2 linked regions of the Schizosaccharomyces pombe genome follow. Changing the gene in region 2 together with the main gene of any one other region gives a genetic interaction. Each region holds a gene or a part of one and is shown on either strand. Other genes may lie near its edges.

Region 1 (6,601 bases), on a different chromosome or scaffold from region 2:
CCGTCAGCTAAAATCGTTAGAATAAAAAAGAAGCGATAAGCTTTATACATACTAGTAAATAGCCAGAATAGGTCTCCTTTATAGCATTCAATATTCGATGCAAATATGTAACAAAGGTTTTGGCCATAGGTGGGGTATTACGATCCTTTCCATGAAGCTCTAAATGAGTCTGGTGGATAGAAAAGACATGATCAAGCACAGCAAAAAAATGGGGCCATTGATATGGTTGGTGAAGTTTTTGTTCAAAGGAAGAAAGCAAGATATGCTCAATTGCATTTAGCTTAACATGGTAAATAAATGATGAAAACGGTCCATTACTTGGTAGGCTTTTTGCTACGAATTTCAAATCAAGCGCTTCAGCTTCAAAATGAGCAACGGTAATTTCAGGAAGTAAATTTATTAGATTACGGCGGAACCGACAGGGATTGTGGGAACAAATTCGGACAAGGTCAACCATGATATTAGTTGAATGAGCAATCAAAGACTCAACTAGCGGACCATAGGCTGATGAGATAGAGTTTTTTTCGATTACTGTACGGGTGTTAGGATTATAAAAATTTGAAGGAAGCCCAGAAAACTCACGAATACATTCTAACATATACGAAGTAGGTTGATCCCTTAGATTAACTGCATTGTTAGCAGTGATAAGTGCTTGAAGGGAGGAACGGACGTAAGGCTCTGGAGTACGATTCAATCTCGTAAAATCTAAACAAAACTGATATACTGCCAAGGAAGAAGCGAGAGTGTGGCTATTCAAAATCAAAAGCATATCATCAGCAAAATACAAAATTCGTTGATAAGAATGCTCAATGCCAGTAGGAGGAATATTCCTCACAGGAGCTGTAGCAACTAATTGGGCTTGGACGCGAAAATCCCAATATTGCTTTAATATGCTCTCCTTGATAGATGAATCAACTACCGAAACCGTGTTCTGAATCTCGGGTACCAAATTTTTGATCAGATGGAGAGCATCGATGGTGGTCTTAATATCACTCCTTTCATACACTCGTAAAATACCAATTCGAAGTTGTATTCTATTGAGAATTCCCTCGATAATTTGTCGTAACTCGGCAGAAAATTTTATAACCTCGGAAGCCAAATATTCGATGCTAGATTGCAAAAGATAATTGAGTTTTTCTATGGGGTAATTTTGAAGAAAGGACATGTGATATGAAAACGAACTAATGTCTTCCTCGTCATATAAATTTCCCATCAGAAATTCTCGATGAACAATATCGCAACATTTAATAACAGCCAAAACAAAAGGGAAAAGAACGATGTCAGTTGTATTCCTTCCGCTACCACTGGAGAAGCCACTGTCACCCACTTGTGAAATAGGCGACTTGCAAATGGAGAACACATGGGCACTACAGAGTAAGCTCTCTGATAAGGGGGATCCATAATGCCACTCTTTTTCCGCAGAGACAATTAAATCCATTAACGCTAATATTTCCAAGTAAGAGAGATCACGTGAAAAATCTACACGAAGTGGCTGATAATCAATCCCACTATCCATTTTCGGTTCCATAATTTCAAAGGCACTGATTGAATCCAATAATGTAAATTTTGGATCACATACTAGCTGTTCCTCTTTCAGAGATTTCGTGGCTTCAAAGTAAGACTTTGTACAGTCGACATATCCAGCGTTATCAACATAACCTTCGTTCCCTTTGGCCGGTTCCACATTTCCAATCTTCACATTTCCTTGCATAGAATTAAGCAATGATAGGGACTCTTTAACAGACATAAAATCGACAAAACACCCCTATATTGACCAATTTTCTATTGAACGTCTAGTTTATGGGTTAATGAAAAGTGTTACTCTGTAAGTCACAACAAAAATTCCACGCATAAAAATGCTTGTTCAATAACATTTTCGAGAGTAAATAAGATGGTAATTTTTTCAATAATAATAAAAACAATGATAAATCCAATTTGAAATTATTTTACTTGTATCTGCAAAGGTAAAAAACTATCTCGATGGTAACCCATCTCACCTAGCAGTAGAATATCTAAAAACTTTTTATAAAATAAAGAGAAGGAAAACAAAATAAATACTTTAAACAATTATGCTTTTTTGAACATGAGAATTTTGTAACTTTGAAATTGCACCAGTTCGTGGAACGTGCAGTCGCAAAGTGTACTGCATAAATAGATACATGCATGGAAGAATCGTGATTTCAGTCAAACACTGCATTCATAATCTTTCTCTTTAAATTTTCGAGTTCTAAATTTTTTTCTTTTAGGGCCGCATTCAGTTTGGCAATTTCTAATTTTAATGAGGAAACAGTGTCTAAAGGCTCCATTGAATTTGAATGAGATATAGGGACATCGGGAATCATCTGAGCTTCTGCTAATGAGTGCATACTCGGCGCTTTTTCCAAATTGAATGCATGACATATAGTAGCTGTTAATGGTCCTTGATGAACGGTCCAAATTAAGCGATCGGTACTGGCTTCAAGGATTTCGGAATGAGAAGAGACCAGGGCTAAAAGAGTACTTGAGATGAACTTAAAATTGGGAGTTTTGGGGATCGGCGAAGTTTCGGAGGGAGGAAGATATTGGGATATCGTTTCAGTATAGTGTGATAAAAGTTGAGAAACCGTTTCCATGGGCAGACGAGCAACATGTGAAAATGCAGAGCGAAGCATTGTATTTTGAGCATGCATCAACTTTTCAAATCTTTCATACCAAGAGATACTTAGCGTTAATGACACAGATGGTTCAGATCTCAGCCGTTTAATTTTGTTACGAGCTCCTGGCGGACGCCCGCGTTTACGAGGGACTCCTGCTTCATTTTCAACATTTTCCGTTTCTACTTGATTGGTTTGTCGAGACCAAGAATCATTCAACCCGTCACTTTCTTTGGGTGAAGAAACGTCTCGTAAATCATCAGGCCATTGATGCCAGTCAGGATCAATGGAATCAGCAACGCCAACTGCTTCAGCAGTTTGAAAAGCGTGATCATGGTTATGTGAATTGTTGGCTGCGGAAGGTAACTGATGGTCTTCGTCAGGTGGTTCAAACATATTTGGAGGATGTGGGAGAGAATGGTTTTGAGGAGTTGTCTGATGTGCTTGTTGAGAACCTCGTTCAGACATGTGATGGGACGCTCTCATTAAAAGGGATTGAGGGGTAGGGCATTCTTGGGAATCTGCATGAGGGTTTGTGACAAAGCTACCAAGATTGTGAGTGTTGTCGTCTAAACTAGCACTAGCTGAATGAATCCAGTTAGAAGGGGAGGTTGACGTGCGCATTGTGGAGATGGAGGAAGAGTTAACATCTGGATGAGACATTAAGCCTGCACGTAAAGATTTAATAACCAAATCATCAGTTACATTTACATTGCATCGAACTTGAGGTTGGGTTTCAGGAATTTCGAGATAATAAGGATTTGGTTTATTCAGGAGATAATCGAAAAAAGCATCAACATGTGTTTGACTCATCCACCGTTTTAAACGAACAACATACTGTTGTATTTTTTGAGTAGATTGTTCATCTTTTCGTTCCACACCAAGAAAACCCACCAGCTTGGACCAAGAGTTAATTATTTTTTGGTGGTATTGCCGGACAAGGAGAAATAAGACCCAAATCTCAAATTTTTGACCCTCTGATTTAGGAATCATATTGAATGCATTTGCTAATTGCCTCGTGTCAGCACCTGCATACCAGGGATTGCAGCAAAGACAGAATTGGCAGAACTTTTCAGTAATATTATCCGCGCTAACATCATGTCTAGATGGCAACAAGGAATAAAAGTTCATCCTTGATTAATTGCTTTAAAAAACAATAAAAAATGTAAAAAGACAGATAGATAAACGTTGGATTATTAAGTAAACACGACAGAAAGACACAAGCAATGTCGAATAAAGAGATTAACAGTATATAAATATCAGAAAAGATCCAGGGATTTTAATAGAATGTATCAGTTCTTGGAACAGGAAGGAGTTGCTGTCTATAAATTAAACTCCAATCTGTAAATGAACCGATGTTTTTTTTTCCGTACACTAAAAAAAGGGAATGGAGGTAAATAAAGCAAAAAAAACGAAATAAGAGAATGAATGTAACCAAAAAAAAGAAAATATAAGTACAGATGTTAAATTTTGTTTGTTTCTTCTCTAGAAATTAGAGAAGTATTGACATGAAGTAGCTCGTCTACACTATACGAAAAGATGCACAGATTATGAAAACAATTGATCCCCTCCTATGATGAAAAAAGGATGCGGAAGGTATTACAGAAGTTTTTCTTCTTTAAGAAAGAAAATAAGAATGGTGTCCCTAAGCTATATGGCACGTATAGCAAGGGTGTCGAGAAATTTTCGGAAAAAATTGTAAACCCTCCAACAATCGGTTGTATTCACAATTGAAATTAAGAATTGGAAGAGTTTCTCTCACGAAAACCTATTACCTTGGCGTTTAGCTTTTCGAGAAAAAGAAAATTGCACGGTCATACAATTTCGCGATTTTTCAAAAGAAGGATGGCAAAGAAAGATATTTCCAAAGAGGCGAAACCTCTTAAATCTAATTTACAAACGATAAATAAAAAGCGCGAAAAACTTGCACACGAGCAAAAGTCCAATTTATATATTGGAATGGAAGATAGAGTAGAAAATGGGAAACGCGAATAAAGTACTCTTTTTCCTTCATATATTGTGATACCTTGGGCCATCCGACTCAGATAACAAGATGATACCTTTAACCCGTTGTTACCGTAGCACTCGCTGAATCAAGGTACTTAACGACTGTCGGTAAACGGAGTCGTGCGCCGTTTACCGATGAGGGATACGTAATCGCACATTAGGACACCTTCAATCTCCCTATATCTTTTGGATAGATCGAGAAATTGCTAGAGGAAAGATGGAACGGGATTGCATTAAAAAATAGAGGCAATAAATTAAAAATGTTTCAATCAAGAGTTCAAAGATTATTACAGATTTACTACTCATTTCTGTAAAGCAATGGTTATTGCGCTGTCTCGACTGCTGTTATTTACCTGACACACTAGGGGCACACACTAGGGGCACACATTGGCGGCAACCCGAATGGAATACAAAAAATGCAAATTTTGATTTCAATCGACCAATGCTATAAATGAAAAAGACAAATAAAATCGAATCATATAAAAAAACAGAATAAATAATGAGACAGACAGTGGAAATGATCCAGCGGCATCGAGAATTTAAAAAATCGGCTCTTCTCTAATAGTATCTTTTTGCATTTGCAACGGAGCGCATATTACAAATCTAAGGTTGAATACTAATTATTACGAATAATAAGCTATAAAACTATTTTTTTTGGAAATAAACAGCTATTTAGATTAGAGTACATGAGTACTACTGTTAGTAAACAAAACGACATTCACTCTCTATATTTATGGCAAATTTTTAACAGCTAATTTTAACAATTTCTTGAGTTGCCACTCAAAGTATAAAGAGATATGCCTTCTTCGATTTACTTGTTGAAACTACCAATTTAAATAATAGCTGCTAACGGCTTCTAGTGATATTCCTTAAACGGCAATCGCCATTTTAAGGAAGAAAGGCCAATTGGTCGCACTAATAAGGACCTGATTTGAAGCCGCTGTAAAATAGGGTTTTCCCTTTTTTGCTGAGTTCGCGTGAAGGTTGTAGGCGAAATAAAGTGACAATATACATTCAAAATACAGACTTCATTATGGGAACTTTCATTTTCTTTATAGTGGTAGCAGGATAACCTAGCCTTTGTGTATAAGGTGATATCCTTTTACAGAGGTTAGCTATGGATTCTTGTAATACAGCCAAAAGTACGTACATAAATTTTGAGTAAAAAATTCGGGTATGGTTGAAGGAGGCGTAAACGGAAGCATTTTCTTGGCGTTAATTGAACATGTTTCGCACTTTAGTCTTCTTACTATGTCATGAAAAGAGCTATTTTAATTATTGTACGGGGTGGCTTGCTAAATATTGATCTGCTAGATATAAAATTAATAAATAAATAATAAAATAATAAAAAATTTTGTAAAAAGAGAAGCGAAAAACCAAACCGACTTAACTTTTTGTAAATAAATATATTTAATTTTATTTACTTTTGAATTTTTTTTTCAGCCCTATTCAAGATCAATTGACCCCTTTTTTGGCAAAATTTCACCATTGCTGAGATTTCGGCATCAGAAAATTTTCACATACTATGGTGAAAAAAAGAAAACAGTCAAGGCGTAGCATCGCAAATTTGGATTCATACAAGAAAAAAAATCTCGTCAGCAATACGCTTAATAACACCGACTGTAATAAATAATGGTGGTTTAGCACTAATATAATCGTAAGTTAATAAACAATCATCAATTGGATGGCCAAGCCAGAAGAAATCCCAAAAATAAAAAAATTATAAAAAATGATAAATCTATTTTTAATCTCTTAAATTGTTATTGCGGTAGGCCGTTTTTTTGAATGTCAATTGCTCAATCCGTCTTTTCCACTATTTGGGTTCATCCCTTGGTAGCGGCTACTTAATATGCTTCTAGGTAGGGTTCATTTCTTCTCTGGAATTCCCTTTCTGACCTTCATTCTAAGGAGGCATGTTTGTTTCTGTTTACCGTAATCTACGCTGTCAGCACTAGTAAGTT
Region 2 (6,824 bases):
CAGTTCCGGCATGAGGCAGTTATAAGTAGAGACATAATGTAACAATAATGATAGTATCTGTTACTCGTACATTTTACATATCGCTTGCTATACATGAGTAAATTTCAAAAAAAACTCATCTCTAACCTACCGTTTGCTGCCTTTTTTAAGGATTTGAGAAATGCAGTAAGAGTTTTCTTTGCCGATTCATAATATTACAATAAGCAAATAAATGAGGGAGTAGCTTGCTATATGTATTCTAATATATAAGTTAAATTGTTACCTATCACTAAAATAACTTATAACTGAGCTTCATACTTCAAATTTAGTCATAGTTCTCAGTTCTATTTACAACTTACCTAGTAATTTTGTTAACGATTTTTCAATGCACATAGAATTTTGATAATCTGCAATTACCGGTTCGGGGATCTAATTAATATTTACCATATGTCATTAGTAGTACGTAGTTGTTAGCTACGCAGTTTAGTATTTATTTAACGACACATTGAACTACAGTTAGTTATATATTAGAACATTAGTTAAGATCCGTTTATTAATAATTGTAGCTATTTATTCATCTATCCACATAAATTTCACATTCATAGCTGCTATTAGAAAGATTATAAATAGAGCTACAACTGAATCTCGTTCCTCAGTTTCACTTACTAGCTAGCTATATCTGTGACTGCTTCTAGTAGACTCATTAAAACAATGAATATAACACTGTTATTTAAACATACCGCATACCCCTACATCAAGTTGCAAGAAGCCATATAGGAACACATAACGCAGCTCAGTAAATTGACCGCAATATGGGATAACATAGAGTAGTGCAGTATTATCAATATTACCGCAATTTACCGTTAGTTCTCGATAAACTACCGGAAGTGGTTTCTTATAATGTTGTATGCAGGGATTTAGTGAATATTACGTAGAGTATTATTTTAAAAAGGTTTCAGCAACTGTACCAGAATAGCTAGGCTGAATACCAATTTGGGAAAATTCACTTGACTGGGTTTCTAATCATAAACATACGGTTAATTGTATCAATAGAAGTTATGATTAATATTTTTCCGTAAATACCCTTGGAATTGTATGACATATATTGATTTGCTAAGTAAAGCAATAAGTAGCGTACTGCAATTTTGCCGATATGAAAAACTGCACATGTTTATTACATAATTACTGCCATTCGGAAGCGCCGTGTAAAGCGGATTATTTGAACCGGGTTTTTTTCATAGAATATTCTTAAATTTTATCGAACTAAAATTCTAGAATAATGTTCATTATTATAAATATAAGCACGATGCTTGGCAAATAATTGTTGGTAACACTTAAAGAAATATCTGATACGAAAAAAGGAATTCTTACTTTGGTTGACAATAAGTGATTAATCTTCTTCAGTTTGATCAATCTTATTGCAATATCTAGAAATTCCTCCAATTTTTTAGTTATTATTAAAAGTTTCAATTAAAAAAAAAAACATTCATTTGCTTTGACTTTCTTGCATTTTTGTTTAACTTACGTTATGAAGCTTACTTCAATCCCCATTGCTTCCACATTGCTCTCTTTGCTCGCTGCCTCGGGCACATTAGCTTCACCGTTGCATAAGCGTGATGACCCTTTGAACAACAAGCAATTTGGCCTAATGTCTATTCATTCTGGCAACAGTTATGTCCACTTGCACCCTTTCTATGTAGGAGACTCTGGCGCTATTTACCTGGATCCTACTGATGGTACCAGTACTAGTGCTGTCTTTTCTATGAGTAACGGAAGACTGGTTGTCGGAAATCTTTACGCTTCGGTTGACAGCAATGGCACCACTATTTTCAAATCTGATGCTAATGCAGCTTCCACTAAGTTCAGTGCTGGTGATGCTACTAATGTTGGATACAATCTTCTATATAATGGAACCCAATCTGCGGTAGCTTGTCCTGCTAGTGATAATGATCAGGTCTACCAAGTATACTTCGGAGCCGGAAATGGTAACCCCAATTGTGCAGGTATTGCTATTGAGGCCTTCGTGTCTCCATCCTCTTCTTCTTCTTCTTCTAGTTCAGCTGCTACTTCAACTTCAACTCGCGTTTCATCGTCTGCTAAAGCAAGCACTTCTAGTGGGGCAATTGCTTACACCACCAAATGTGTTGTTGTTCCTGTTACAGCATCGGCTACTGCCACGGCAAAAGCTGCATCCGCAGCAGCTTCCTCAGCTGTTTACCCTCTTTTCCCACATGGAATTCGTTTGATCGATTCTGCTAACCCCAGTTCCAACTCCGGTAATGTTTACTCTCCAGTCGTCTTTCAGAAGCAAAACAATCATACCAACACGATTTTCACATTTGATGTTCCTCAAGTTTCCGGCAGTTGCGAACTCAACCTACATCTCGATACTAGCGGTTTCCCAATCACTGTTGAAGGCAGCAATGGTGTTGGTCAATTCATTCTTTTCAACCTCTCCTCCGTCGCCAACGATTCTACTGTTTACTCCAACCGTCCAAACCGCATTGCCGAAATTGGACGTTTCAACTGCTCTAGCTCTGGTTGCGATTATGCTACCAACGTTACATGCCCCAACTCATACACCGCGGTTTCTTATGAAATGATGGCTCTCACTGATGACTCTTATTTGAGTTTCTTCGAAGAAGCCGATCCTCTTGAGGGATTAACTTTACGAGTTTAAATTTAACTTATTGAGAAATCAAGAAGCATTATCTAGTTTAACTTCATTAGCATTTAAATTCATTACTTTTCTTTCCTTTATGAGTAATAATTTCCAGTAATCTTTGGGTAGACGCTATTGTTAAATGGAAAAATCTATTCAAGGGCCACCGATTATGTTGTACCATTTACCTAAGTAGACTCAGTGTATGCTGTATTTATTTTTGCTCACCTAATGTACCTTTAATATTTTTCTATATATTACCACTAATTATACGGCATTCGAAAGCGTTATTTGTACGAGCAAATTTGCGTTTTTTAACCAAGCAACCGCCGATAAAGGCGATATAGCAAAAAAAATTTACGTACTCAAAAATATGACTGATAAAACTGATATTATAAATTTCGATAGTTTAGCAAGGGATTATCCCGACTTGAGATCTTTGTAGGGCGTTCTCAATGCCAATTTATATACTAATTGAACGTAGCGTCAAAAATGGTCGCATTGATTTTTGGAACGAAGATGCTATTCGGTTGGTAAACTCACATATGTTAAACGATTGCTTACCTATAAATTAGTACGTTAGGAAAAGCAATTCTGGATCGGGATTATTCTCTTCGTGTTGAATTTCCTGAGAATCGTCTATGTCCAATGGTAAGAGATGTGTAGCATCACCAATGTTTCTTTTAAACAAACATTTCCCTTCTCTCATAAATGCTAATTCATTTAAAGGTTCCAAACCGGTATATTAACACATTGTTTATTCATCATTTATAACCAACTTTTCAGAGCCACTTATATAAGATATATTCATGACCTGTTGTCAAGTACATCTGGGCAAAAGGATAAAAAAAGAATCATTGGTTTGGATATTGGTACCGGCGCTAGTTGTATATACCCATTATTAGGCTGTCGTATGTACTCATATGATTTCGTTGGCACCGGTAAGCTTTGATTTTTCACAGGCTTTTACTAATTACTCAAAACTCTAGAAATTGACAAATTTTCTTTTGAAACAGCCAAGAGCAATATTCTTCAAAATAACATGGAATCCCAGATCAAAATTGTGCTTCGTTCTAAACAAGACTGCTTACTCCCTGATACCGAAGGGATGGAAGAATTTACCTTTGTGATGTGTAATCCCCCATTTTATGAACATGAGGAAGATTTCATAAATTTTAAGCAAAATCCACCATCGGGTGTTTGTACTGGAGTTTATCATGAAATGGTTACAGAGGGTGGTGAAGTCGGATTTGCCAATAAAATCTTAACTGAAAGTAAAAAAAGGAAAGGAATTCAATGGTATACCTGTATGTTTGGCAAAAAATCAAGTGTACCTGCTGTGGTTGATAAATTGCGTGAACAAAATGTAAGTCCTAACTAGCCTTTAAAATTTTTTTAACTTATATCTGTAAGATATCAAATTATGGAATTTACGAACTCGCACTTGGAAAGACTAAGCGCTGGATAATTTGCTGGTCATTTCAGGCTATGCGTCCACACAATGTATGCTGCTATCGAACGATATTTAAAATTCATGATACTAACAAAAGGATCCAAAGGAACTTATACGTCCTTCTTCAACTTCCCTTTCTAAATATTTCCCCCATAAGGTTCTTCAGAATTGGACTTTAGACCCAGAATTATGTGCTCAAATTGATGACATTCTACAGAAATTCTTAGATGATAACAAAATTCCGTGGTCTAAAAAAGGATCCGTTTTGGAAATATCAACAAAATCTATCACTTGGTCTCGTAAAGCTCGACGGATATCCAAAAGTCAAACTTCTGTTTCTAGTCTGGAAGGACAAATGAAATGTGAACTGAACGTAATAGATAATCAATTGCAGTGTAAATGGATTGAAGGATATGATTATAATGTTTATGAAAGTTTCTGTTCAGCTTTAGCGCGAGCTTTACGGGACAATAAAAAATAATTCAATTCGTGAAAATTCACTTGGTAATCTTCTTATATTGAATAGCCAAAGCTTTGAATTTTGTATTTGAATAAAATGTCTTAAATTGTATAAAATAAATGATTAAAACAAATGACATGCGATACATAATAATTTTATCTCTAAAATTTGATGCCTTAAAGCTCATTCGAGTATTGGGTTCGAAACCCATTTATTTAGACTAATGAGTGCTTTCACTTAATTATTAAAATTAGTATCAAGCTTTTTCAACAGTCGAATCTGTATTAAGAAGTCTTAGCTTCTCAACTTTATTCTCAGATACTGGAAAAATAAATGCACATGAAGATCAGCCTATTAATATCACAAAGCTATTTTGGACTAGTAAAACTTCAGAATCCATTATATCTTAACATAAAATTGATGATTTTATCTATTGTTGATGTGTTTTAGTCGAACATAATACTTGATTTTTGCAGTTGCCAGGAACACCAAAGCACACACCATGAAGTTGGTACGGTAAGTATGATAAAAAATCTATACATATTCCTAACGAGTTTAGCTTTTTAATGAAGCTGACGAATGAAACTGTCTCTATTGAGTTAAAAAATGGTACGTAAAGCCTTACTTTCGTATAATAAATGAACCAAACTTACCAAATCGCGTAGGCACAATTGTTCACGGAACGATTACTTCTGTTGATATGCAAATGAATACCCATTTAAAAGCTGTTAAAATGACTGTCAAAGGTAGAGAGCCAGTGCCTGTAGAAACTCTGTCAATTCGTGGAAATAACATACGCTACTACATCCTCCCAGACTCGTTACCACTTGATACCCTTTTAATTGATGATAGCACAAAGCCAAAACAAAAGAAGAAAGAGGTAGTACGAGGTCGTGGACGTGGACGTGGCCGTGGAACTAGAGGCAGAGGCCGCGGTGCTTCTCGTGGGTTTTAAATATTATGAAAATATTCTCTTTTCGCACCCTTATTTTTGTCAGAGAATTTAAAATTATTGGCAATATCAATCGGCCTTTGCATTTTATTTTCTTTTAATAGATTTGCTTTGTGATGACATTGAAGTATTGCTGAGAGTGTATGCGTATTCTATGTTTTCCATGTTTCTATCATTTATCTCTGGTTAAATATCTAGACCGCTAAAAAAATCCCTTTCTTTCTCATACGTTGAAATGTTTGATAATCAACCTACGATAGCTTTGCTGAGGTGGCTTCATAAATGTATGTATAAAACGACTTCAGAGTTGTTTCACTGGTATATAATTAAATATTACATCAAAAATTTCCTTAATTTATTACGAGTACCCAGTTAAATAAACGTGTATTTTATTAACTTCTAAAAAGATGTGAAATTTGAAATAAATGTGATATTATGAAAAATAAGGAATCATTCCTCAACATGATTTTCAAAGTTTTTCAGTAAGCTCCGGGACGATTTCAAATAAGTCACCTACAATTCCCACATCTGCTGTTTGAAAGATAGGAGCATTTTCATCGCGATTTATAGCAGCAATGACTTTGCTATCTTTGATTCCGGCAAGATGCTGAATAGCACCATCAATTCCAACAGCAATATAAAGCTTTGGGGCGATGATTTTTCCAGTTTGACCTATTTGTAAAGAATTATCAGCATAGCCAGAATCCACGGCAACACGTGTAGCACCAATTGCTGCACCCAATTTGTCAGCCAAAGGTGTAAGGATGCGTTCAAATGTCTCTTTGTCTTTCAAAGGTCGACCACCAGCAACAACTCTTTCGGCAGAAGACAAATCAGGCCTAGCATTCTTTATAATATTCTCACTAACCCATTCTTGTAGAGCAGCTGGTTTTGGATCAATACCTTCAACAACAGTGGCTGCTCCTTCACCACTTGAAGGAGCGGCGTCAAATGCAGATGCACGAACGGTGACGATTTTAATAGGATCCTTTGTAGACACAGTAACGTTTACGTTTCCCGCGTATGTCGGACGAACGAATGTGTCAGCAGAAACCACACCAATAATGTCACTAATCTGCATCACATCAAACATAGCAGCCAAACGAGGCATCACCCCTTTACCAACAGTTGAATGAGCAGAAAAAACATGACTAATTTCATTTTTCTTAACATTTTCAAAAAGAACATTGGCTATTTGATCGGGAATGTTATGCTCATATGACGGATTCTCAACGTAGATAACCTTTTTCAAATCGTTCACCGATTTTGCTACCTTTTGAGAAATTTGAGAAGAATCCTTACCGATTACAAATCCAAA

Evidence for each region.
Region 1: of mtl16 (region 2) and abp2, extra expression of one rescues a mutant of the other (dosage rescue), as found in Schizosaccharomyces pombe (one study listed by BioGRID).

Annotation. Positions count from the first base shown.
Region 1 is NC_003423.3:4,128,865-4,135,465, reverse strand, and holds abp2 (ARS-binding protein Abp2), read right to left. Parts: upstream 4,602-6,601; 5' UTR 3,765-4,601; coding exon 2,181-3,764; 3' UTR 1,831-2,180; downstream 1-1,830. Other genes in the region: naa35 (NatC N-acetyltransferase complex subunit Mak10), read right to left, coding at 1-7, 53-1,747. UniProt on the Schizosaccharomyces pombe protein: Binds, preferentially, to the Maundrell ARS consensus sequence within ARS3002.
Region 2 is NC_003424.3:4,519,223-4,526,046, reverse strand, and holds mtl16 (methyltransferase Mtl16), read left to right. Parts: upstream 1-2,966; 5' UTR 2,967-3,096; coding exon 3,097-3,170; exon of another isoform or gene 3,171-3,216; coding exon 3,217-3,292; exon of another isoform or gene 3,293-3,370; coding exon 3,371-3,381; exon of another isoform or gene 3,382-3,427; coding exon 3,428-3,582; exon of another isoform or gene 3,583-3,630; coding exon 3,631-4,007; exon of another isoform or gene 4,008-4,054; coding exon 4,055-4,144; exon of another isoform or gene 4,145-4,200; coding exon 4,201-4,575; 3' UTR 4,576-4,672; downstream 4,673-6,824. Other genes in the region: SPOM_SPAC27D7.09C (But2 family protein ), read left to right, coding at 1,508-2,659; Sm snRNP core protein Smd1, read left to right, coding at 5,057-5,070, 5,114-5,163, 5,220-5,509; etf1 (electron transfer flavoprotein alpha subunit), read right to left, coding at 5,976-6,824.